Linked DNA regions of Callithrix jacchus. The protein of the gene in region 4 interacts with the protein of the main gene of each other region in a biochemical or structural test. Links are inferred from orthologs where the notes say so. Each region holds a gene or a part of one and is shown on either strand. Other genes may lie near its edges.

The links.
Region 1: the proteins of PPP1CA (region 4) and RRP1B form a complex in vitro, tested with the Homo sapiens proteins (4 studies listed by BioGRID and IntAct, with this or other methods). The link is inferred for Callithrix jacchus from reciprocal best matches to the Homo sapiens genes PPP1CA and RRP1B.
Region 2: the proteins of PPP1CA (region 4) and PPP1R15A are reported together in a solved structure, tested with the Homo sapiens proteins (2 studies listed by BioGRID and IntAct, with this or other methods). The link is inferred for Callithrix jacchus from reciprocal best matches to the Homo sapiens genes PPP1CA and PPP1R15A.
Region 3: of the proteins of PPP1CA (region 4) and AKT1, one has a biochemical effect on the other in vitro, tested with the Homo sapiens proteins (3 studies listed by BioGRID and IntAct, with this or other methods). The link is inferred for Callithrix jacchus from reciprocal best matches to the Homo sapiens genes PPP1CA and AKT1.
Region 5: the proteins of PPP1CA (region 4) and PPP1R10 form a complex in vitro, tested with the Homo sapiens proteins (2 studies listed by BioGRID). The link is inferred for Callithrix jacchus from reciprocal best matches to the Homo sapiens genes PPP1CA and PPP1R10.
Region 6: the proteins of PPP1CA (region 4) and MPHOSPH10 form a complex in vitro, tested with the Homo sapiens proteins (2 studies listed by BioGRID and IntAct). The link is inferred for Callithrix jacchus from reciprocal best matches to the Homo sapiens genes PPP1CA and MPHOSPH10.
Region 7: the proteins of PPP1CA (region 4) and SFI1 form a complex in vitro, tested with the Homo sapiens proteins (2 studies listed by BioGRID and IntAct). The link is inferred for Callithrix jacchus from reciprocal best matches to the Homo sapiens genes PPP1CA and SFI1.

What each region holds. Positions count from the first base shown.
Region 1 is NC_133522.1:49,362,650-49,365,169, reverse strand, and holds part of RRP1B (ribosomal RNA processing protein 1 homolog B), read right to left. Parts: intron 784-2,520; coding exon 590-783; 3' UTR 1-589. UniProt on the Homo sapiens protein: Positively regulates DNA damage-induced apoptosis by acting as a transcriptional coactivator of proapoptotic target genes of the transcriptional activator E2F1.
Region 2 is NC_133523.1:42,713,758-42,717,958, reverse strand, and holds the start of PPP1R15A (protein phosphatase 1 regulatory subunit 15A), read right to left. Parts: upstream 2,801-4,201; 5' UTR 2,571-2,800; intron 1,995-2,570; 5' UTR 1,986-1,994; coding exon 21-1,985; intron 1-20. UniProt on the Homo sapiens protein: Recruits the serine/threonine-protein phosphatase PPP1CA to prevents excessive phosphorylation of the translation initiation factor eIF-2A/EIF2S1, thereby reversing the shut-off of protein synthesis initiated by stress-inducible kinases and facilitating recovery of cells from stress.
Region 3 is NC_133509.1:139,649,545-139,653,044, forward strand, and holds part of AKT1 (RAC-alpha serine/threonine-protein kinase), read right to left. Parts: intron 3,460-3,500; coding exon 3,315-3,459; intron 1,083-3,314; coding exon 954-1,082; intron 1-953. UniProt on the Homo sapiens protein: AKT1 is one of 3 closely related serine/threonine-protein kinases (AKT1, AKT2 and AKT3) called the AKT kinase, and which regulate many processes including metabolism, proliferation, cell survival, growth and angiogenesis.
Region 4 is NC_133511.1:124,477,355-124,481,333, forward strand, and holds the start of PPP1CA (serine/threonine-protein phosphatase PP1-alpha catalytic subunit), read right to left. Parts: upstream 2,801-3,979; 5' UTR 2,704-2,800; coding exon 2,649-2,703; intron 2,119-2,648; coding exon 1,987-2,118; intron 1,831-1,986; coding exon 1,600-1,830; intron 877-1,599; coding exon 772-876; intron 374-771; coding exon 150-373; intron 67-149; coding exon 1-66. UniProt on the Homo sapiens protein: Protein phosphatase that associates with over 200 regulatory proteins to form highly specific holoenzymes which dephosphorylate hundreds of biological targets.
Region 5 is NC_133505.1:35,398,201-35,401,700, forward strand, and holds part of PPP1R10 (serine/threonine-protein phosphatase 1 regulatory subunit 10), read right to left. Parts: coding exon 3,309-3,500; intron 3,141-3,308; coding exon 3,077-3,140; intron 2,956-3,076; coding exon 2,761-2,955; intron 2,578-2,760; coding exon 2,502-2,577; intron 2,250-2,501; coding exon 2,136-2,249; intron 1,978-2,135; coding exon 1,267-1,977; intron 983-1,266; coding exon 873-982; 3' UTR 1-872.
Region 6 is NC_133515.1:42,751,405-42,754,904, reverse strand, and holds part of MPHOSPH10 (U3 small nucleolar ribonucleoprotein MPP10), read left to right. Parts: intron 1-252; coding exon 253-390; intron 391-3,179; coding exon 3,180-3,290; intron 3,291-3,500. UniProt on the Homo sapiens protein: Component of the 60-80S U3 small nucleolar ribonucleoprotein (U3 snoRNP). Required for the early cleavages during pre-18S ribosomal RNA processing. Part of the small subunit (SSU) processome, first precursor of the small eukaryotic ribosomal subunit.
Region 7 is NC_133502.1:202,085,769-202,089,268, reverse strand, and holds part of SFI1 (protein SFI1 homolog), read right to left. Parts: intron 3,446-3,500; coding exon 3,350-3,445; intron 2,876-3,349; coding exon 2,799-2,875; intron 1,401-2,798; coding exon 1,298-1,400; intron 1-1,297. UniProt on the Homo sapiens protein: Plays a role in the dynamic structure of centrosome-associated contractile fibers via its interaction with CETN2.

The DNA.
Region 1 (2,520 bases), on a different chromosome or scaffold from region 4:
TTCTTCCCCCACCCCTACCTGTCCACGCCCCCAGCTGAGCACATGTAGAAAAACTATGGTATTGCTGATTCTGTGACAAGAATCTTCCTGATCAGTAACCTGCCCAACACCCACAGAACATGGCAATGAAGCCCTAGATGCTTTTAAAATAAAACAGACTGTTAAGACTAGACAAACCAGAAAACCAGCTTAGCATGGCCAGTACGATAATGAGTACGAACCCCGAGTATGAGTCCCCGGGAAGTGCAGCTCCACCTGTCACTGTGCCAATGGCATTGATTATTCAAACTTCAGATCCACGTGGTCTCCTCAGCTCACAGAGGGTCTCATTTCCTACACCAGTGGGAATCACCGAGGGTACCCAAAAATGTAAAATCCTGGAGAGCTCAAAAACAAACATGGTTTGCAGCAAGATTCAACCAAGACGCCCACAGCTGCTCCAAGGGCCAGGATGCAGTAGCCCGTGCACATTCAGAACCTCGCACACACTTACAGCTCAGGAAATGATAAAAGGCCCCACATTCTTAAAGGTATCGTTTATAGAGTAGTCTGTACAAAAGCAGTCTTTTTCAAGAGACTCTGCTGCTCCTCAGAAGAAATCCACAGCCCTGGGCCTTCTCCTTGGTGTGGCGGTCAGGGGCTTCTTGGCCACTGGGGGTGAGCTGGCAGGCGAGCTGGTGGGGGTCTTCAGCACCCCGTGGAGGGGCCTCTGTTCAGGGTCGAAGGCCACCCGAGAAGCACCCGTGGGACTGACCAAGATACTCTTGTCTGTCTTCTTGAATTCTGTCCCAAGTGAGAGCAAGGCCCCAGGTTAAGCGGGTCCAACAGCTGTCCCTTCGACAGCGCCCTGCCTGGGTGCCAACCCCACCCATGTGCTAGGACAAAGTGGGGCCATCTCAAGGCTCTGCAGAGAGCAGGCCTGAGAGCCTCCTGAGGCAAGGAGGGCAGTGAGGCCACGTCCCATGCCTCACCTCACCCTCCCAAGGGAGGCCCAGACCCAGGGGAGCTGCTGGTAGGGTGGCTCCTGGAAGCCTGAACTTTTGGGGTGTTTTGGACAATGACTGGACCAAGCATTTGTGTCTGGGACAAATCCGTGCTATGTGGAGCTGCAGGATGTGTCCCATTCACTTTTCCCAGTTCTAAAGGTGGGGTGAACTCCTCCTCTCCGAGTCTCTTCTCCCTCAACACAGATACCCTCACACACACATATACTGGTGCACGTACACACACACTGGAGCATGTACTCACTCATACACACACACACACACACACAGGCGCATGTACACATACACACACACACCGGCGCACATACACACTCACACACACACATACTGGTGCACGTATACACACACACACACACAGGCGCATGTACACATACCCACACACATACCGGCGCACATACACACACACACACATACTGGTGCACGTGCACACACTCTCATACACACACATACTGGTGCACGTACACACACACACTGCCACATGTACGCACTCATACACACACACACACACCGGCGCACATACTCATACACACACATACTGGCACATGTACACACTCATACACACTGGCGCCTGTACATTCATACACACTCATACACTGGCGCACGTACACACACTCACACACACTGTCGCACACACACATACTAGCACACGTACACACACAGGCGTACGTACACACATACGGGCACATGTACACACACATACTGGCACACGCACACAGTCGCATGTATGCACAAATACTGGTGCATGCACACATACATACTGGCGCATGTACACACATACACACATACTGGTGCATGTACACACATATTCACACACACACTCATACGCTCACACTCGCATTCACACACACTCATACATGCACTCACACACACACTCACATATACACACGTTCAGTTACTTGTGGTTTCCAACGAGAGTCGGGTTCTAAACTCACAATACTTTTTAAAACTCTGGTTTCTTTTGTGAAAGCAACTCGAACGGATGGCAGCCACACAAGAACTAGGAAGGCAGGGATTTCCCTTCTCCGTCCCCCGGGAAGAGTGGTTATGGTTTCTCGGAGGCAGCTACAGCTGATGGGCCGCTGCAAGCTCTAATGGCCTTTCTGTGGGATGGCTTGGTACTTAGAAACACCTGGGAAAATGGCTTTTGGATCACGTCTCACCAGGTAGCCTCTCCTAAGAGGTCCCAAGCAATTGGCTGCCCACTCACCACTGGCAACCCACTCACAGCCCTTTGAGGACAAGGGACACATAGGTGCTTCCTTTTGACTCTGAAATGGGCACTGAGGGGCTGGGCACGGTGGCTCATGCCTGTAATCCCTGCTCTTTGGGAGGCCAAGGCAGGTGGATCACCTGAAGTCAGGCCAACACGGTGAACTCCCTTCTCTACTAAAAATACAAGTGTTAGCTGGACAAGGTAGCGGGTGCCTGTGGTCCCAGTTACTTGGGAGGCTGAGGCAGGAGAATCGCTTGAACCCAGGAGGCAGAGGTTGCAGTGAGCCGAGATCACGCCAACCTG
Region 2 (4,201 bases), on a different chromosome or scaffold from region 4:
TCTGGGCTCTCAGCACCCACCTTTCTGGCCTTTAAGGGAGTCTCAGGGTCCGGATCTCGGGTCGGTGATTCTGGGTGCTTGAGCCGCCTCTGCAGTCGGTGGGGTAGCCCAGGAAGAGCCCAGGGAGGCGGTGACTTCTCTCCGGGTACATAGATGGCCACTCGGAAGGGGCAGGGCTCAGCTTCTCCCCAGTACTCAGTAGCTTCCTCTTCCTCTGTCTCCTTCCCAGGTTGATATACCCAGTCTCTGAAGCGGGCACTCTGGGCTGGGTGGGATGGATGTGGGTTTGACTCAGTTTCTCCCACAGCTGCTTCTGAATCATCTTCCTTATCCTCACTGTCCTCATCCTCATCTTCCTCCTCTGTGTTCTCTCCTGGCCGATACACCCAGGACTTCAGGAAGGCACTTGCAGGGGGTGTGGAAGCGGAAGTCTCAGCTTCTCCCTCATCCTCATCTTCCTCTTCTGTGTCCTCTCCTGGCTGATACACCCAGGACTTCAGGAAGGCACTTGCAGGGGGTGTGGAAGCGGAATTCTCAGCTTCTCCCTCATCCTCATCTTCCTCTTCTGTGTCCTCTCCTGGCTGATACACCCAGGACTTCAGGAAGGCACTTGCAGGGGGTGTGGAAGCGGAATTCTCAGCTTCTCCCTCGTCCTCAGCTGATCCCGTATCACTGTCCTCATCTTCCTCCTCTGTGTCCTCTTCTGGCTGAAACACCCAGGACTTCAAGAAGGTACCTGTAGCAGGAGTGGAAGAGGAACCCTCAGCTCCTCCCTCTTCATCTGATCCAGAGTCACTGTCCTTATCTTCTTCCTCACCTTCCTCTTCCTCTGTGTCCTCTCCTGGCCCATACACCCAGACCTTCAAGAAAGCACTTGAAGGGGATGTGGAAGCGGAAGTCTCAGCTTCTCCCCTGTCCTCAGCTGATCCCGTATCACTGTCCTCATCTTCCGCCTTCTCTTCCTCTTCCTCTGTGTCCTCTCCTGGCTGATATACCCAGGCCTTCGGGAAGGCACTTGTGGCAGGGATGCAGGGAGGATCAGCTCCTCCATCCTTCTCAGCTGCCCCCAAAGCCTTAACCTCACCTTCCTCTTCATCAGTGGGTTGGCACGGCCAAGCCCTGAGCTGGGGCCTCTGAGCTGGGGCTGAGGAGTGTGGCCCTGGGGCAGCTTTTCCTTTCCCAGCTCCTTCGTGTGCCTTTTCCTTCTCCTCGGATGTCTCTCCTGAATGATACTCCCAGGCCGTGGGGTTAGAGCCTGAAGATGGGGGTGACACGGGGGTCTTCCTGGCTCCTTGACTTTTTTCTGTTCTTCCGTCGTCCTCCGTGGCTTGATTCTCTTCTTCCCCTGGGCAAGACACCCAAGCGCTGGGCTTGGATCCTGGAGACAGGGCAGTAGAGGCTCTGCAAGCTTCTTCGTCCTCCTCCTCTACTGCTGAACACTCCCGGTGTGACGGAGGATAAGAGAAACTGTTGACTCCCTCATCTTCAGCAACTCCCTCTTCCTCGGCTTTCTCCTCCCCTGGGTTCTTATCGGAACCTTGCAGGGTCCTTATCAGGAGGCTGGGAGACAGGGGAGCACGCTGGCCATCTGCTAATTGACTTCCCTGCCCTCTAGGGACACTGGTTGCTTCTCGCTCACTATACTTGTCATCGTCATCATCTGAAAGTCCCCAGGCTTCAGGAAGGGAAGTGCTGGTTTTCAGGCCCATCGCTTCTCTGTCCCCTTCAGGGCCTCCACTGTCTTCAGCCTCCTCTTCAGAGTATCTGTCCCAAAGGGTAGCGGGGGTTGTCAGAGGAGTCTCAGCTTCTCCCTCCAGGCCAGCTTCTGCTCCCTTGACTGCTTCTACCAGCCAGGGCTCTGGAGGTCCCGGGCCCCTCAGGCGGCTCCAGGCCCAGCTGAGGAAGCCCATCAGTGGGGACAGGAGGAAGAAAGGATGGGCATCCCTCCAGCCGGCAGCCTGATGGGGTGCTTGGCCTGGGGCCATGTGTCTGGGCTGGAAAAGGGGGAGGAAAAAAATAAAGTTTAGGGGCCATTAAGGAGATGGCATTCGGGCATGACTATGAGTCACAGCAACAAAAATAGTAACACAACTATCATAAACAGCACCGTGAGCCTCTGCCCCAAATTCCTTTCTGATCTCAGCCACTCCCCTCTCTGTCCCTTGGCTCCATTCTCTCTCATCACTCAAGAGCCAGGAATCTGAGCCCCTAGTTCTTCCTTAGATCCAAGGGTCCAAGCCCCCAGCCTCCTCTTTGCTCAGATGCAGAAATCCCAGTCCCAAGAACAAGTCTTTTACTTGCTTCCCTTGCGGACAAGGTCATAGACCCTAGCTCACTCATCCTGCTGAAGATTGACAAGTCAAACCCCCGCACCCTCCCTCTCTTGGAGACTCAAATATTCTGACCCGACCCACCCACTTGCCAGACGATTCCTTCAAGAGGAACCCAAGAATCTGGCTTCCAGATCCCTCCTCCCTCAGACTCAGGACTCCAGGCTCCCAACCCCTTCTCCTCCTTAAATCCGTGCCCCCAGCCCCGTGGAGACCCAGGCGTTTCGACCCCTTACTCACCGGCTGGGGACTGCGCGTCACCCCGGGGGTAGGAGGGCCGGCTCGGGCTGCCAGAAGCGATCCCAGGTCCGGACGGCTAGGAAGGCCAGCGCGTTCATCTCACCCTCAGAGGTTGGGGTCCAGGAACACAGAATATCTATGGCTGCCTCAAGCGCGGGGGCGACAAGCGGGCGCAGGGTCGTGCGACTTCTCGCACGTGAACTACAACTAGGGTAGGAACCAACACAATGAACGCGAAAAGCGTCCGCGAAGATTTTATAGTCTACCGCGCCCCGACGTGTGACGTCACGGGGAGAGGCGGGGTTTCGAGAGCACACCCCGAAGGGTGGGAAGTGAAAGTAAGACAGGACTTCTCGCGGAGATTCCAACTTTGTGACGTCACGGCGGAGTTTCCGATCGTGACCACGCCTCCCAAATAAGCGAACTGTCAATCAAATGCATGGTCCTGCTTCAGCAGCGGGCCAGTTCTCTTAGCTCAGGGCAGATGCCTTCCCACCTCAATTTATTTATCTATTTATTAATTATTTTTTTGAGACGGGATTTTTTTCAACATGTTGGCCAAGCTGGTCTTGAACTCCTGATCTCAGGAGATCCGCGCCCCCTCCCCCCCCCCGCCTCGACCTCCCAAAGTGCTAGGATTACAGGCGTGAGTCACCACTCCAGGCCTAATTATTTATTTACTATTATTATTTTTTGAGGCGAAGTCTCTGTCACCCAGGCTGCAGTGCAATGTCGCGATCTCGGCTCACTGCAACTTCCGCCTCCCAGGTTCAAGCCGTTCTCCGGCCTCAGCATCCCAAGAAGCTGGGGTTACAGGCATGTACCACGACGCCCAGCTAATTTTTTTTTTTTTTTTTGACAAGAGTTTCGCTCTTGTTTCCCAGGCTGGAGTGCAATGGCGCGATCTCGGCTCACCGCAACCTCTGCCTCCTGGGTTCAAGCAATTCTCCTGCCTCAACCTCCCGAGTAGCTGAGCTGGGACTACAGGCGCGCACCACCATGCCCACCTAATTTTTGTATTTTTAGTAGAGACGGGGTTTCACCTTGTTGACCAGGATGGTCTCGATCTCTTGACCTTGTGATCCACCCGCCTCAGCCTCCCAAAATGCTGGGATTACAGGCTTGAGCCACCGCGCCCGGGCTTTTTTTTTTTTTTTTGAGATGGAGTTTCGCTCTTGTTGCCCAGGCTGGAGTGCAATGGCGAAATCTCGGCTCACTGAAACCTCTGCAATTCTCCCAGGTTCAAGCGAGTCTCCTGCCTCAGCCTCCAGAGTGGCTGGGATTACAGGCATGCACTACAACGCCTGGCTAATTTTGTATTTTTAGTAGAGACGAGGTTTCTCCATGCTGGTAAGGCTGGTCTTGAACTCCCAACCTCAGGTGATCTGCCTGCCTCGGCCTCCCAAAGTACTGGGATTGCTGGTGTGAGCCACCTCATCCACCCAGTTTTTGGTATTTTTAATAGAGACGGGTTTCACCCATGTTGCCCAGGCTGGTCTTGAACTCTCGACCTCAGGTGATCCACCTGCCTTGGCTTCCCAAAGTACTAGGATTACAGACATGAGCCATCATGCCTGGCCTATTTATTTATTTTTTGAGAGGGAGTGTTGCTCTCTCACCCAGGCTGGAGT
Region 3 (3,500 bases), on a different chromosome or scaffold from region 4:
CCAGCCTCAGCCTTGGGACTCACCCAGAGACCCCCACTCAGCCAGCCTCAGCCTTGGGACTCACCCAGAGACCCCCACTCAGCCAGCCTCAGCCTTGGGACTCACCCAGAGACCCCCACTCAGCCAGCCTCAGCCTTGGGACTCACCCAGAGACCCCCACTCAGCCAGCCTCAGCCTTGGGACTTGACCCAGAGACCCCCACTCAGCCAGCCTCAGCCTTGGGACTCACCCAGAGACCCCCACTCAGCCAGCCTCACCCTTGGGACTTGACCCAGAGACCCCCACTCAGCCAGCCTCAGCCTTGGGACTCACCCAGAGACCCCCACTCAGCCAGCCTCAGCCTTGGGACTTGACCCAGAGACCCCCACTCAGCCAGCCTCAGCCTTGGGACTCACCCAGAGACCCCCACTCAGCCAGCCTCAGCCTTGGGACTCACCCAGAGACCCCCACTCAGCCAGCCTCAGCCTTGGGACTCACCCAGAGACCCCCACTCAGCCAGCCTCAGCCTTGGGACTTGACCCAGAGACCCCCACTCAGCCAGCCTCAGCCTTGGGACTCACCCAGAGACCCCCACTCAGCCAGCCTCAGCCTTGGGACTCACCCAGAGACCCCCACTCAGCCAGCCTCAGCCTTGGGACTTGACCCAGAGACCCCACTCAGCCAGCCTCAGCCTTGGGACTTGACCCAGAGACCCCCACTCAGCCAGCCTCAGCCTTGGGACTCACCCAGAGACCCCCACTCAGCCAGCCTCAGCCTTGGGACTCACCCAGAGACCCCCACTCAGCCAGCCTCAGCCTTGGGACTTGACCCAGAGACCCCCACTCAGCCGGTGCACGTTCCTCATTGGCCCAGGACACGGAGGCTGCAGGGCACCCCACTGTGGGGCCTGGTGGGTATAAAGGGCTCCAGCCAACTCCCAAATCCAAACCCCGAGAGGCCAGGGGGACACTCACGTGCCACAGAGAAGTTGTTGAGGGGGGCCTCGCGTTGGTCCACGTCCTGCGGCCGCTCTTTGTAGCCAATGAAGGTGCCGTCATTCTTGAGGAGGAAGTACCGTGGCCGCCAAGTCTTGATGTACTCCCCTGCAGGGGGCAGGCGGTGAGGGCTACACACACTGCCCATCAGACCCCCGCTGCGCAGCCAGGCAGCAACCCGGTGTGCCAGGACACACATGCCTGAGACGCCTGAGTCCCCGGGAGAAGGCAAGGGGTGGGGTGTGTTCCTTAGGGCCAGCGACAGAAACGGCCCTGGGTCAACAGGAAGGCAGACTCGCCCCACCACAGCACCCTCTTGGAAGAGCCACCCCTAGCTGTGTCTGAAAACGGGCTGGGCCAGCTGGACTCAGGGGATGGAGAGCCATTGACAGGAGGCTGGAGGAGGTCTGAGCCAATCCACATGGCCTTCCTGGAGGAGGAGGCACCAGCTATGGCTGCAGGGGCTGCAGGGATGAGAGCATTCCCCAATCAACCAGCGTTGGCCAGGTGGCAACTGCAGGTGACAATGGCACGTGTGGGCTGCCCAGCACAGCTGTTGTCCCCTGCCCACCAAGAGGATGGAGCACGGCATCCGAAGTGAGAGGTCAGCACCACTGAGACTGAGGGCCGGGATCCTGGTTCAGCACCAGTGAGACTGAGGGCCGGGATCCTGGTTCAGCACCACTGAGACTGAGGGCCGGGATCCTGGTTCAGCACCAGTGAGACCGAGGGCCGGGATCCTGGTTCAGCACCATTGAGACTGAGGGCCGGGATCCTGGTTCAGCACCACTGAGACTGAGGGCCGGGATCCTGGTTCAGCACCATTGAGACTGAGGGCCGGGATCCTGGTTCAGCACCATTGAGACTGAGGGCCGGGATCCTGGTTCAGCACCATTGAGACCGAGGGCCGGGATCCTGGTTCAGCAGCACTGAGACCGAGGGCCGGGATCCTGGTTCAGCACCAGTGAGACCGAGGGCCGGGATCCTGGTTCAGCACCACTGAGACCGAGGGCCGGGATCCTGGTTCAGCACCACTGAGACCGAGGGCCGGGATCCTGGTTCAGCACCAGTGAGACCGAGGGCCGGGATCCTGGTTCAGCACCACTGAGACCGAGGGCCGGGATCCTGGTTCAGCACCAGTGAGACCGAGGGCCGGGATCCTGGTTCAGCACCAGTGAGACCGAGGGCCGGGATCCTGGTTCAGCACCAGTGAGACCGAGGGCCGGGATCCTGGTTCAGCACCACTGAGACCGAGGGCCGGGATCCTGGTTCAGCACCACTGAGACCGAGGGCCAGGATCCTGGGACAGGAGCGGCCACTGCTCTGGCAGAGCACTCCCTGTCTTAGGGGCCTGGAGCACCATCCTGGGCACTGCCAGGGAAGCCAGACCCAGAGGTGGCCCAGCCAGCTGGGCAGGGGCCCCGGGCACAGAGGGTGTTCAGGCTGCGTCCCACCCGTGGGTCACTCAGGTGCACGGAACGTTTTCCCTCCAGTTTTGCCGCATCAGCCATACGCACTTCAGAATCGGAGCAGCTGCCCCAGTGACAGCCCAGCAACGACCATTTTTCATACTGACACTCGGAAAAAAATGTTCCACTTACATTTTGCCAAGCAAGGAATTTGAACAACGGGGAACTTACTAATGAGGCAACGGCCTCATCGGAGAGGCCGCTGGGCAGGGTAAAGGGTTGGGGGTCCCTGAGCTCTGGGGCCTGGGTTTTCCTATCAACCTGAGCCCAGACCAGGACACCTGGAGGGATGTGGGGGACAAGCAATTGTCCCATCACCGGACCACCCACCCCCAGCCCTGCTCAGTCCACATGGTGAGTGCAGGCGCGCCCAGTCCTCCCTGGTGCACAGGTCACGTCCCAGCACAGCAGCGGCCCAGGGAACTCAGAGGGCACGGGCCCCGGCATCCCTGCAGCCAGGGCATTCTCCTTCCGGGAAGCCACAGGCAGTTTTCACTGTAAGAGGTGAGCCACCAGGGCTTCGCAAATGGTCACCCCAGGCCAGGTGACCTCTCCCTCCTCCCCAGCCCCGGCTGTCCGATGCCCCTCCTACCAGCACCACAGGGCATGGCCTCCACAGGACCAGCCCTCGCTCCGCCAGATCCAGGGCCACTGGGGGGATGCTGGTGGCGAGGGGGACACCCCACCCAGCAGCTGAGTGTGGGGAGAAGCTGTTGCCAGCTCTGAGGTGGACCCAGGAGGGGATAGTCAGAGCCCATCCATGGCAGCCTGACACCTCCAGAGGATGACACATGCCCAGTCGCAGGGAGAAGGGTCCAGAGCTCAGAATCTGCCCCTATGCCCGGGAGCACTCACCAGGGGGCTCACTCACCCACTCTGCTGAGCCCTCCATGCCCGTCAGGCTGCCGGGCAGATGTGGTCTTGCCACCCTTGGGCACCGGCTCCAGCCCCTGGCCATGAAGACAGTGGTGCTGGCTCCTCCACTTGTGCCGTCCTGTGTCACCCCAGCCCTGGAGCTGGGAGTAGTGGGGCTCTGGGGCACCTGTTGTCGGGGCTG
Region 4 (3,979 bases):
GTTGGGAGCTGAGAAAAGTGTCACCAGCTGCCTCTTGGCAAAGAACTCATAGCCATCTTCTACCACCTGGGTGCAGACCAGAGCAGTCAGTTCTGCATGCTGGCACTGGCCTCCCTTTCTCCCACCCCAGGCCAGAGCTGCCAGCCCACCTGGTGCGCCCGGCAGATGAGGTCCAAGTCGTGCTTGTGCAGGAACTTGGCCACCACCTCGGCTCCGAAGGTAAAAGACACGCCACGGTCGTTCTCGCCCCAGCCTTGCACGTCCTTGTCAGGGTCAGACCACAGTAGGTCACACAGCAGGCCCTGGTCAGGCACGTCTGTGGGCCGCATGATACGCCGGATCTGCTCCATGGATTGCAGGTCTGGGGACAAGCCTGGGGGACCGGGGGAAGTCCACATCCTCAAACAAGGACATCCTCACTCCAGGAAGCTGTGGCCAATCAGCCTCACCTTTCCCACTGCCCCCTTGATTCCTCCACAGGTCACCTGGGCACCCAGGCGGCAGAAGTCATCCCCTTCCCCTCAGCTTTTGCAGGTTCCCAAAGAGGCACAAAGATGTCCCCGCCCTCAGGAGCGCAGAGCTCCCGGGAGATAGACAAGCCAAGCCTATTCCATGTAGGATGCACAAGGGAGTCAGCGCAGCCCGGCACAGGGGTATGGGAGACACTTCCCAGAAGGAGTGACTTCCCAGATGAGACAGACCTAAGGAGAGCTGGCCCGGCAATGGGGGATGCGGCCAGGTCTCCTTGTCCCCAGCCGTCCCCTCCCTCACCTCCGTGGCAGCAGAAGATCTTTTCATCCACGATGGCTGCGATGGGCAGGCAGTTAAAGCAGTCCGTGAAGGTTTTCCACAGTTTGATGTTGTAGCGTCTCTTGCCTGCCCAGGAGATGGCTGTGAGGGGCCCGCCTACCCCACCCTCCACCTGGGTCCCTGGGCTATTCAGACGCAGATGGGAGGAGAGAGGCTTGGAGGCAAACCACCCTGCACCCTGCCCCTGTCCCCACTCCTGCCCCTGCAGCCTATCAGCCTTCCAGGAACTATTCTCTTTACTTTTTATTTTAACTTTTAATTAAACAGTCTTGCTCTGTCACCCAGGGTCAGCTGGAGTGCAGTGGCGAGATCATAGCTCACTGTAACTTGGAGCTCCTGGGTCCAAGTGATCTTCCTGCCAGAAGTAATTCTAAAGCACCCAAGTCCAATGAAAACTGAGTTCCAATCTGGACCGGCCTCAGGGCTGGCACTCCCCAAACACCCCCACCCATAAGCTGGGCCAAGTACAGGTCTGGTTTATCTCAGCTTCTGGACAGCTGAGCCCATCTGCAAACACATCCTAAGTGCTTAGTAGCAGATGTAAGTGGAGCCTCACCAGGCAGGGCCCTGGGAGCAAGCACCAGAATACCAGCAGCCTTCCAGTCAGCAACCATGCCCCAGACCCCGTGCCAGGCAGGGCAGGGCAGGCACGAGAATGGAGCGGGCCCTGCCTTCGTGGAGCGCACAGTCTAGCAAGTGTCTGTCAGATACGAAGCCAATGTGAGGGTCCCACTGAATAGCAAGGAGCGTTTCGGGACCCGGGCAACCCTGGGTGCTCAGACCACTCACACTCATCGTAGAAACCATAGATGCGGTTGATGCTGGCACACTCGTGGTTCCCACGGAGCAGGAAGAAGTTCTCGGGGTACTTGATCTTGTAGGCCAGCAGCAGGCAGATGGTCTCCAAGGACTGCTTGCCCCTGTCCACATAGTCCCCCAGAAAGAGATAGTTGCTCTCCGGAGGGAAGCCCCCATACTCAAATAGTCGCAGAAGGTCGTAGTACTGGCCGTGGATGTCACCTGTGACCCATGGAACCGAGTAAGCTAGATGCTGGGTCTAGACTTGAACCCAGGGCCAGGACTAGGCTCAAGGGAGGAGGGCTCCAGGAACTTTGTGGGGGCCAGTGCCACTTTTAGGAAGCCAAAGGGGCCTGGGCGAGGCTGGGGGCTGCTCACCGCAGATCTTGAGGGGTGCCTCCAGCTCCAGGAGAATGGGCTGGCTCAGGAAAATCTCCCGGGATTTCAGGCACAGACCGCGGATCTCGTTCTCTGTCAGCTGTACATTCTTGCCAGGCCGCGAGCCCTGCACTGGGGGCGCAATGCGGAGTCAGGACCCTGGCCTCTCAGACAGGGGGAGGGTGGGCGACACGGTGGCCCCGTGGATACCTCCGGGGGCGCCTAGGCCTCCTCGGCCCCTCCTTGCCCAGAGGCAGCTGTTGCTGCTGAGCCTCCTGGGACGTCGGCCTCAAGCCTCCCAAGGGAAGCCCCCCTAGTTATCCTCAAAGGCTCGGGAGGCGACTGTCGTGCGCAGGGGGCTGCCGCCCAAAACCTCACAGCGCAAGACACCTCCCTGGACCGGGCTTCCCGGGTTTCTCCCTCGCCCCAAGAGCCGAGGCAACCCGTGAGCCCCCGGCCGGGGAGAGGGGGCTGCTCCGCGCCTCGAAGCCGGCCCCGGACCTCTCAGGCGCGTCCGCGGGGGGGGGCGGCTGCGGCCACGGAACCTCGCGGCGCGTCCCCGCCCAGTCTAAGCTGGCCCCGGGGGCCCGCCCGCGCGCCACTTCCGGGCTGGGCAGGGGTCCAGGGCGCGGCGGACGCGGACCTTCCCCACCCCGGCCAACCTTCCAGCAGGCGCCCGATGATCGAGTCCAGGTTGAGCTTCTCGCTGTCGGACATGGCGGCGCCGCCGCTCCAGTCCAGCAGCTCCGGGCCCGCTCCCGTCTCCCGCCCTCCGGCTGCCTCCTTCCGGCCTGGCTCTCCTTCCGCCCGCCCCAGTCCGCCCCCGGCCCGCCGCTCCGCCTCCGGGCCTCCCGGGCCCGCCCTGCCCGGCCCCCCGCGCTCTAGCGCCCCCGCTGGATGTGAGGCGCGGAGGCCCAGGGGGCGGGGCCTCGGCGGCGGGCTGGGGGCGGTGTCTGTCGGGGGCGGGGCCGAGGCTAGTTACGCCCGAGAGGAGGCGCCCAGCTCCGTTTCGAGGATGTGGGGCCGGAAGGAATGTGGAAGTTGTTTTTCTCTTTCAAAAGCTGAACAGCCCTTCCCACCCCTGCCCTGGGTGGAGGGTGTCGTGAACACGTTAATAACCGGCTGCCCCGCACTGAGGGTTAACTTCTCCAAATGCAGAAAGGGAAACTGAGGTTCAAGACATAGCGACAGGCTGGTTCAAGACCTGGACCTCGCTTGCACCGAGGACCCCCTTCCTCGTGGGTCTCCGTGGCCCCCAGGCGGCTGACCACACTCAAAGACAGCTAGAATTCCCAGCGCACTTTGGTCCTTGGGGCATGCTAAATTAATATTTTCTTATAAGTCCCATAATTAGCTTTTTTTTTTTGAGGCGGGTTTTGCTCTGTCCCACAGGCTGGAAGGCAGTGGCGCGACCTTGGTTTAATGCAACCTTCCCCTCTTGGGTTAAAGCGATGACAATGCCTCAGCCTCCAGAGTAACAGGGACTACAGGCGGATGTCACCGCGCCCGCTAATTTTTGTATTTTTATTAGACGGGGAGTTTCCATGCTAGCCAGGCTGGGATCACAGGCCTGAGCCATCACACCTGGCCCCATAATAAGCTTTGAGTAGCACAGTAATATTGCAGGGTGTGCACGTAAAAAGAATTATAAAGAGTAGACATTACATGAACCGTAATTACTGTTGGAACCCTGAGTTGGGTGCTTTACACACCAGTAACCTCAAAACTGGAGGTGGGCTGGCCATCGTGGCTCAGGCCTGTAATTCCAGCACTTTGGGAGGCTGAGGCATAATGATCTCTTGCGCCCAGCCTGGGCAACATGGCGAAACCTCGTCTCAACACAAAACACAAAAATTGGCCAGGCACCGTGGCTCACACCTGTAAGCCCAGCACTTTGGGAGGTTAAGGCAGGCAGATCACAAGGTCAGGAAATTGAGACCATCCTGGCTAACACAGTGAAACCCCGTCTCTACTAAAAATACAAAAAATTAGC
Region 5 (3,500 bases), on a different chromosome or scaffold from region 4:
CACTGACAAGGTTCCAAGTAGGGGCAGGGAGTGCGCTAACTCCCAAAGGCAGTGCATGTAGTGTGACTTTCAGGCCCAGCACGCCGGGCACAAGTTAATGAGAAGCTGGTCTCACTGAAGTACTTTATCAAGTCTACAGACTGGCTGTAGTTGGCAAGAGCAGACCAGCACCACTGGCCTCAACTCTGCCAGCTACTTTCACTGGATGCAGATATGAGTTCACGATCGTCGAACCCAGCAGACCCAGGACGCAGAATGGTTGTTCACACTAAGTTCAAGGTCCCACTTGAGAAAGGACTCTGAATGGAGCCCATGCTGGGGGAGGAGTGGGGATGATGTGTGTTCCAGAACTCAAATCCAGCTGATTGAGCCCCCTCAGTGCAGTGGGATATACAATACCCCTTCACCATCTCCCCACCCCATGAGTAATAATGAGCTTAGCTGGGATTTCTTAAGTGCAGCTGATCCTGTGTCAGAGTTCTGTGTGCATGTGGGGACCCGCAATAGAAGGGTAGGGGTTTTCTCCAGGATAACCAGCTTTACGTTCTCAGGCATTATGGGCAATACTGGAAAGGGGTTTGGGGTACAGGGCGAATCTTCTCAAAAAGTGAAGCCAACTGGGTCTCCTCTTCAGCAGTCCAGGGTACAGAACGTTACCAGTCTCTCTCCTCCCCAGACTGGAGGAAAATATGTACATCAATGCGCACCAGTGATCAGAAAACCCCCAGGAACCCAAGCAAGTGGGAACTGAGGGGGCTGGCTCCTCATCAGCTGGGGAAAGGGGAAAATGGGCCTCACAGAAGCCATAACAGGGTGGAAGGAGCGAGGCTGCAGTCCACAGGGGTTGTGTGAACAGGACAGGCAAATGGTCCCTAGGGCAGGGGGGGCCCATTGACACCCGGGTGGTAGAAGGCACAGTTGTTTTCATAGCGGCAGTTGCCCTTCATCATGAAATGTCGACAGACAGGGCGGTTTGACATGTCTGTGGGAACAAAAGCAGAACAGTTAGACAGGAAATGGCTGCGGGCAATGCCAACACCTTCACCACCCCAGTCCATGGCATCCTGAGAACTGTGTTTCAGAGACATGATCTTGTGGATCTGGGGGAAGGGCAGAGTAGGAATTGCTATGCATACTAGGACACCAAGGAAATAAGGGGACTTCACATTCTGCCTAGCTACCAACAGTGGTGACTCTCCCCACCACCACTCCCTAAAATCTTGTACGGCACATCAAAAGGTATATGGAGGCAGGGAGCATCCTCACCTCCTCCATGGCTGTGGCCTCCATCGTGCCCTCGGTGGCCCCCTCCCCCATGGCCAGGGCCATCATGGCCACGGTGCTCATGAGGTGGTGGCCCTCGATGATCATGGCCTCGGTGACCAGGAACATCATGAGGCCGGTGGCCATGGGGCCCCCCGTGTCCAGGGCCTTCATGGGGGCGATGTCCACCTCCGGCACCCATTCCTCCGCCAGGGCCTTCGTGGGGACGATGGCCACTGCCACCACTGATGCCACCGCCAGGGCCTTCATGGGGACGATGTCCTCCACCCCCGCCCATGCTACCAGGGCCTTCATGGGGGCGATGCCCACTGCCCATGCCACCGCCAGGGCCTTCGTGGGGACGATGTCCACTGCTGTTGCCCATACCACCGCCAGGACCTTCATGGGGACGATGCCCACCACTTCCAACCATGCCCCCACCAGGCCCCCCTCGTCCATTTGGGGGACCTCCTCCAGAGCGACCTCCTCTGGCGCCTCTGAACGGAGGAGGAGGAGGAGGAGGAGGAGGTTCGTTTCCCCCTCGGCCACCTCGGCCTCTATGGTATGGTCCAGGACCTGGTCCTGGACCCCCCCGCATTGGGCCACCCCTCATGGGGTCACCTGGGCCATCCCAGAAGGGATCACCCCCCCGGGGAGGGGGTGGAGGACCCAGGAGACGTGGACCCACTGGCCCACCAGGGCCTCCGTGGGGACCTGTAAGAGAGAAAAGAGAGAGCATCAGCTATCTACTACACTCAGGAATTGCCGTCTCCCAACAGAAACCACCACCTCCCGCCTTCCAGGCAATCCCATACTATTATCACTTGAAATTAGGCCGATTAGCCCATTCCAACCTCTTACTCACCACCTACCTGGCATAGGTCCCCCAGGTCCAGGGGGAAAGTGCTGCATGCCCTTGGGGCCCCCAGGACCCCCTGGTGGGAAACCATTGGCTATTGGGCCAGGGCCTAAGAGTCCATGTGGCACTGTTAATGAAAACAAGAGTAACACAGTCAGTATGAGCACTCTAGAAGACTAACATGATCTCCCGTTTAGGTGTGCCCAACTGACCCTCTCAGACCAAGCTGGCAGAGCAGTGCTCTCTGTCCAGTCTTCCCCTCCCACTTCTTGTCTAGTGGCAATAGCCCTATACTCTTTCACATCTGTGAAAACCTGCCTCCCCAAACTCCACTGAAGGCTTCCTCCCCCAGGCCTCTGGGGCTTGCCCTGAAGATTACCCAGCATCTGCTTGATCTTGTCTGAATAGTCTGGTTGTTTCAGTAGTTCCTCTGAAGGATGACTGTTTGGGCTACCCTGTGAGCATATAAGAAGGCAAAGTCAACAGACAGAAAGGGTAACAACCATCGCAAAAGGGACTCAAAGATTAGGAGTAAGTGGGTAGATGTGGAGGACCAAGGTAAGGTGAATGGGAGACAGAGTGAGGACAGTGCACTTAAGGAGGCTCCAAGGAGGTGGCGAAGGGAAGGGGGTGCATACCATGATGGAGGTAAGGATCTCCTGCACATTAATGCCTCCTCCTCCAGGGCCTTGGGGGCCCTTTCCGGCACCCATGCTTCCCATAAGATTGGCCAGAACTGGAGGCAACTTGGAGCCTCCTGCCCCATCAGGTGAGCCACCTGACCCCCCAGGTTCCAGGGTCTCAACATATGAAGTCTCATCCATGGAACACTCCTGAAAGAAGAAGAAAAAAAATCAGGCCTAACTGAAAGAATGGAGACATTTTCTCGTGAAAGATGCACCAAAATCAATGATCATCACAACCTCTATCATCACATAATATTGACTCACTCACCTCATCTAGGGGGATGAGTTTAGGGGGTATGGGCTCATAGGGCTCAGGATCAGGTTCATGAGGACTATCAGGAACAGCACAAGTGATGGAAAAAAGAATGACAGTTAAGTTATTAATTTAGGCCCTGAAAGTTATTTCTAACCTCCACCCATGCTTAATTACCCCAAGTCATGTTCCCCTTAGGAGTGTCCAAGCCCTCAACATCCCAGGGCACAAATCCCACTCTGCTCACCTCTCCTTGTTCAGGAAGAGCTCCTGAAGGATTCCCTTCTCCCGCTCAGCCTGGATATATCGCTCCTGACTATTGCTTCCAGGGGTGACAAGAGGTGATGGTAGAACCAGGGGCCGGGGGCACACCCAGGGCACCTTCTCCTCCATGTTGTCATGGCTCAGACGCCGGGCTGTCTCAAATGCATGTCGGTCT
Region 6 (3,500 bases), on a different chromosome or scaffold from region 4:
TGCTTATTTTTTGTGATTCGAATAGTTTTTTCAGAAGCTGAAAGTTTTCTTTTTGCTATAATTTGCTTACTCTGGAATAATAAATATTTATTATAACAATGATGTTTGTCATAATTAATACATTAACAATAATTTATTAATATATTGATAATTATTATAATAATAAATATTTGAGAGGAAGATTCTTAAGGGAACCTAGAAATAAACTGTAGGTTTTGTTAACTTATGTTCTACCTGCCCTTTATGTTTCAGGCTTGGGATGATGTAGTACGTAAAGAAAAACCTAAAGAGGATGCATATGAATATAAAAAGCGTTTAACCTTAGACCATGAGAAGAGTAAATTGAGCCTTGCTGAAATTTATGAACAGGAGTACATCAAACTCAACCAGGTGAGAGAGCCTGTAAGCAAAACCATTGTTATTAAAGAAACAGAAATAGAGAACTAGGTTTTTTGTGACAGTTGAAATCATGAAACAAGTCTTGAGCTCTTCAGCTACCTCGTTTAAATATGAGTCAGAGCATGTAAGGAATAGAAGGGTTATAATATCCCCAGTTTATGTGAGGGGTTGGGAGGTTTGCTTTGCAATTAGGCTTTGGTCACCTGATACTTTTACAACTAATTATTAACTTTCTAGCAATTATTATGGTGGTGCTACAACTTTAAAGCCATTTCTCATTGACATTTGAAGTTACTGGTATATTTTACATGATTATGGATTCTTTCTGATTTTTAGGCCTGTTTCCTCTTTCACTTAACTAAAAGAAATCTCTGGGCTGAGTATGGTGGTTCACACCTGTAATCCCAGCACTTTGGGTGGCTGAGGCGGGTGGATTGCCTGAGGTCAGGAGTTCGAGACAAGTCTGGCCAACATGGTGAAACCCTGTCTCTACTGAAAAATAAAAAAAACTAGCCAGGCGTAGTGGTGTACACCTGTAATCCCAGCTACTCAGGAGGCTGAGGCAGGGGAATTGCTTGAACCAGGGAAGTTGGTGGTTTCAGTGAGCTGAGATTGCGCCACTGCATTCCAGCCTGAGTGACAGAGCGAGACTCCATCTCAAAAAAGCAAAAACAACAAACCCACAACACACACAAAAGAAATTTCTGGTTAAATAATAGGACAAGGTCATATTTTCAGGAATATTATATGCCTATATGATAATTGAATTTTTCCTTCACATTTGATTTATTGGGAATATATTTAATATGTACTTTGGGATCCGGTGGCATTTTTCTTCTGCAAAAGCCATTTACAATTCCTACCAAATTTTGTTAATAAATGCCCCTCAGGTAGCAACAGCAAATTGCCCTGATGCCACTGTGAAGTTGAAGAACTGAAAAGATTTGAATTAAAATTCTTCCTGGCTACCTTGCAATCCAAAGTGGTTGCTGAAAGAGGATGTGTACAGTTTCATTTGAGTCTTTGAGGAGATTCAGTAAATACAGAAAGTATTGGTGACCACAAGAGTTAAAAATTAGATATGTAATGCAGTAGCTTATGCCAGCTCTAAATGTAGTTTTATTTCTCTCTCAGAAGTCAACAGCGAGTTAAGAAGTTTTTGAGGATAGACTTGGATTTCTAGTATATTCATTAGCTAGGCTAATTCTAGAAGTGAAATGATGGTAAACAGCATATGTAGGAGCCTTTACTCACAGTTGTATATGTATTGTGGCTCAGAAAATTCTAAATAGCAAATACATTGCTATGTGTTTGATTTTATGGATATTGTTACCTAGAATAAGGTGAAAGGACATGTTTAGGATTTTTTAAAGTGTGAGGTAAGTTAAAATAGTAAGAAGCAGTAATAGCGTGATGATGCCTGACCATGGCTGGAAGGTGGGTGCTGATGATGGACATTGGAAACAGACCTGGCTGCGTCTCTGTCATCAGGGTCAGGAGGCAAAGAGCCCGTTGTTTCCAAGTTTTGGTGGTTTTTTTTTCATGTCTTAATAACAAACAAACAAAAAGCCTTCTTAGCCATTTAGAATAAGTATTTGGGGCCAAGGGGGACAGAGAGAGAAGCATTAAATTTACATTTTCTCTTCAGTAGAATTAAAATTGCAGTCAATATTTAAATGTGATTTGTCAGAATAAATCTTTAACACATTACATTTAAATAAAAGGAAAAAGCCCCTACCATCCAAATGGATGTTTGGTAAGTTGATGAAGTCTATATTAACACTACTTCTTTTTTTTCTTTTTAATTGATGTGAGATTTACATAACATAAAATTAACCACATTAAGTGAACCAATTGGGAGCATTTAGGACAGTGTAACTTACTAGTTCTATCTAGTTCTAAAACATTTTTATCAGCCCACAATAAAGCCCCATATGCATTAAGCAATTGCTCCCCTTTCCTCACTTGCCCCAGCTCTAACAACCCCCAGTCTGCAGTCTATCTTTGTGGATTTGCCTATTCTGGATATTTGATATAAATGGAACCATACAATATGCAGCCTTTCATTTCTGACTTCCTTCACTTAGCGTCATGTTTTCAGTACTGCGGCATTTGTCAGTGCTTCATTTCTTTTTTATGGTTGCACAGTATTCTATTGTGTGTATGTACCACAGTTTATCTGTTCATCCGTTGATGGGCATGCAGGCTCTTATCACCTTTTGACTGATAATAGTGCCGTGTACATGTATTTGAGTACTCGTCTTTAATTCTCTTGGTTGTACACCTAGGAATGGCATTGCTGGGTCAGATGGTAATTCTCTGTGTAGTTTTTTGAAGCCTGCCAAGCTTGTTGCCACTGTGCCTGCATCATTTTATATTCCCATCAACAATGCACAAGGGTTCCAGTTTCTCCATCCTTGCCAACCCTTGTAATCACTTGCTGTATTCCTTTAAAAAAAATTATTCCTTTATAAAATTATATAGCCATCTTAGGAATAGCTTAGTTTTTGGCAGAAGTAAATGCCAAGAGAATTAAATTTTTAGCTTCTGAATATTAGAGGTAATGGTTACTGTAGTTCCTAAAATGCACATCACATCTCTTCTTTGTAGGTGCTGGAACTCTCACAGTACTGCTACTTTTAATTTTGCTTTTGGAGTGTTTCTTTGTAGCTGAAGCTTTGGTGATGAGAAGCTGGGAATACCCTCACTGGCCTTTAGTGTTTTGTCCTGTGATATGTATCAAGCCACTTAGTTTGACATTGTTGAATTTATTTTCTAAGCAAAAAACAGCAGAAGAAGAAAATCCAGAGCACATAGAAATTCAGAAGATGATGGATTCCCTCTTCTTAAAATTGGATGCCCTCTCAAACTTCCACTTTATCCCTAAACCGGTAAGTGTGTTAACAGTTCAGTGTGTAGCTAGAGCAGGATGACATTAATAGCTCTGATCCTTTGTGAGACTAGCTCATTGTTTCAGGATACAAACCTGCAGTAGCCTCCTGTAAATTCCAGGCAGGGTCTCCATGAGGAAGGCTCACTTCTGGTCCCATGAAAGTTCTGGCTCTACCCAGATCTTCAGTGAGCCCCTGCCAGACCCTCAG
Region 7 (3,500 bases), on a different chromosome or scaffold from region 4:
TTCACCATATTAGACAGGCTGGTCTCAAACTCCTGACTGTGTGATCCACCTGCCTCAGCCTCCCAAAGTGCTGGGATTGCAGGCATGAGCCACCACGCCCACCCATAAAATTTTTTTTTTTTTTTTGAGACATAGTCTCACTTTGTCACCCAGGCTGAAGTACATGGCGTGATATCGGCTCACTGCAACCTCCACCTCCCAGGTTCAAGCAGTTCGCCTGCCTCAGACTTCTGAGTAACTGGGATTACAGGCATGCACCAACACACCCGGCTAACTTTTGTATTTTTAGTAGAGATGGGGTTTCACTGTGTTGGCCAGGCTGGTCTCAAAATCCTGACCTCAAGTGATCCACCCACCTCAGCCTCCTAAAGTGCTGAGATTAAAGGGATGAGCCACCACACCCAGCCTCTATTACTATCTATTAAATGGAACCACATATGTTGTATCCACTCTTCTGTATGAGTGATGCCTACAAAATCACAGTAACAAAATGCTTGCCCAGGGGAAGCCTGGTGCCTGCCTGCAAACTGTCATGAACTCCATTCCCACTAAAAATGCCTCCTCTTCAAGCTCTGAAGCCAAGCAAAGATTCCTGTGTTCTCCTTCCAGGGGAAGGGAGGCACAGGCTGGCTTTGGAGTTTTCTTTTTTTTTTTTTTTTTTTTTTTTGAGACAGTCTTGCTCTGTTGTCCAGGCTGGCGTGCAGTGGTGCGATCTCAGTTCACTGCAACCTCTGCCTCTTAGATTCAAAGTGCCTGTAACCCCAGCACTTTGGGAGGCCAAGGCAGGTGGATCACCTGAGGTTAGGAGTTCAAGATCACCCTAGCCAACATGGTGAAACCCCATCTCTACTACAAATACAAAAATTAGCTGGACGTGGTGCCACATGCCTGCAGTCCCAACTACTTGGGAGGCTGAGGCAAAAGAATTGCTTGAACCTAGGAGATGGAGGCTGTAGTGAGCTGAGCTCACACCACTGCACCCCAACCTGGGTGACAGAAAGACTGTCTCAAAAAAAAAAAAAAAAAAAAAAAAAAAAAGGCAAATACTGGTTCTGGGTTCCGATAAGAACCACTTCACTTATGATGTGTTATATTTCTATTTTAATGCATATTGGTTTATAATTCATTAAAAAACTAAATACCTGCCCACATGGATGTTTCTGTATGTGCTGGAGGAAAATTGCCCATTTTCTGGGTTCCTTATTCAGTTTAAATCTCTAGTACCACCCCCCCATGCCCTCACCAGAACATAGTCCCGAACCCTCCTGGGTCACCAGCTTGCCTCCATATACCTCACCTTGGAACATATGGTCTTTCTGTAATGAGTACTTGCTTGAAAGGTTTTTTTGGCTTCATTCATGCGGGCCATGGTGTTCTCTTTCCAGCGACGTAACACCCCCCTGTAGGTGCATGGGTGTCGTCGGGAGGGCAGATGACACCAGGATGGAGAGAGAAGGGAGGCTTCTGTGAATCATTCCCCCTCTTCCCCTGCTCCTGAGTCAGGGACTCTATGCCTAAGAATGTTTGACCAACACCCATGTTTACATGCATATCTACGTCCAACAAAGGGCTACTGAGCAGCTGCTCTGGGCTGGGCACCGAGAGTGCATGAGGGACCCAGCACTGCTGGAGACCAAACTCCAGGTGCTATGGGGATAACAGGGCGTAATCCGGCAGTGGCAACACAGGTGACTCACACTGTGATAAGAGAAGTGTGGAGAGGCAGGGGACCTGGAGGAAGGTTGCCTATGCCTCAGCTTGCTGCTGAGTTAGCTTGGGGAGTTCCTTTTGCCTATTCTACTCTATCTGAAGAGCAGGATGGGTGCTCTGTGGGACCCCATATGAGGGATGGAGGCATTTATTTTATTTCTTTACTTTTTAGAGACAGGATCTCACTACATTGCCCAGGCTGGAATGCATTGGCATGATCATGGCTCACTGCAGCCTTGACCTCCGGGCTCAAGTGACCCTCCCACCTAAAACTCCCAAGTACCTGGAACCACAGACATACATGACCATCCCTGGCTGTTTTTATATTTAGTACAGACAAGGTCTTGCTACATTGCCCGGGCTGGTCTGAAACTCCTGGACTCAAACAGCCTCCCAAAGTGCTGGGATTACAGGTGTGAGCCAATGTGCCCAGCTAAGGATGGAGGCGTTTAAAAACCACTGCCCAGAGGCCACCTGGATTATCAATCATGTGCTGAACAAACACAAAGGAAGGAAATGAAAGGGGCATGTGGGAAGACTACTGGGAAGGAGGGAGGTTAGAGTTTGGCTTAGAAAAAGGGGACGAAGCTGCATAAGCACCCTCCACAGGAGTGCGTGGTGCAGATGGTCCGACAGGGACTAGAGGTGACTCTGAAGTCAGAGACAGGCCTGCAGAGCAAGCGGGAAGGGGAATGCCTGGAAATTGATAGGAAAGGGAGCCACTGCAGCCTCTGGAGTGGAAGAGATGACAAGGCGAATCTCTTGCAAAACTGAATCTTGCAAAGCTTTGCAAACCCCTGAATCTTGCAGGTATGAAGCAGGGAGGAAAAACTGCTAAGAAGAGCAAGACAAGTGGGCTTCCAGGCATGCAGGTGACAGCTGCTCTCCAGGGCCTGCCCTGTACACAGCAGGGGCTTAAGACAAATGAAGGTGAACTCATGAGTGAAGCGGAAAAGCCAAGACCATGATATTAGGTACTAGGGACCTGGGATCATCCCTGGCCCTCAGCAGGACCCCCCCAAAACGCTGGGGTTTGGAGTGTGTTCCTCATTCCCGGCCAGAGCCTGGGAGGCGCCTGGGAGACTCACCGCAGCAGCTGCCTGTTGTGCTGGCTCTCCTTGGCTGCCACCTCCTGGAGGATGCTCTGCACCCTGCCCTGATAAGTCTGTGGGGGACAAGGGGGACAAGGGGGACTGGAGGCTGCCCCTGGGTCCACACTTCTCCCTGTTTAGGCAGGCCTCAGAGGTGCCTCTACCACAAGGCTGCCACAGCATTCAAAAAGGGCAGGGAGAGGCCAACAGCCTTTAGTCCCAGGGCCAGCAGACCCTCCCAGATGACAGGGAGAAGACTGTCCCATAGGCCCTCACCTCCTAAGTCAAACCCCAGGACTCCTGGACAAGGAGCTGCTTTCCCCTCAAGGCTGGGGCCCACCAGCAGCACTTGTTTCCACTTGGCCCAGCAAGAACCGAAGAACCTGAGGCCTGAGTCCCAGGGCCTCGCTAAGGCACTTGCTGGTTTCAGGTTTGTCACATCACTTTGTTGTGGGAGGGACAGGAAGAACAAGGAAGGGAAACAGAGTCTCCAGAAACCTCCCCTGTCCCCACAGCAAGGAGCTCAGGAGGGAAGCAGCAGCTCCTACCACCCACGCCTGCAGCGCCCTGAGCAGCACCGTGTGCTGGTGGTGCAGCTCCGCTCGCATCAGCTTCCGCCGCTCCGCTCCCCGCAGGGCCAGGCACTGCAGACAGAGAAGAAAGCAGCTACTGTGGGCTGGGGGCCCACTTGGGGGTGGC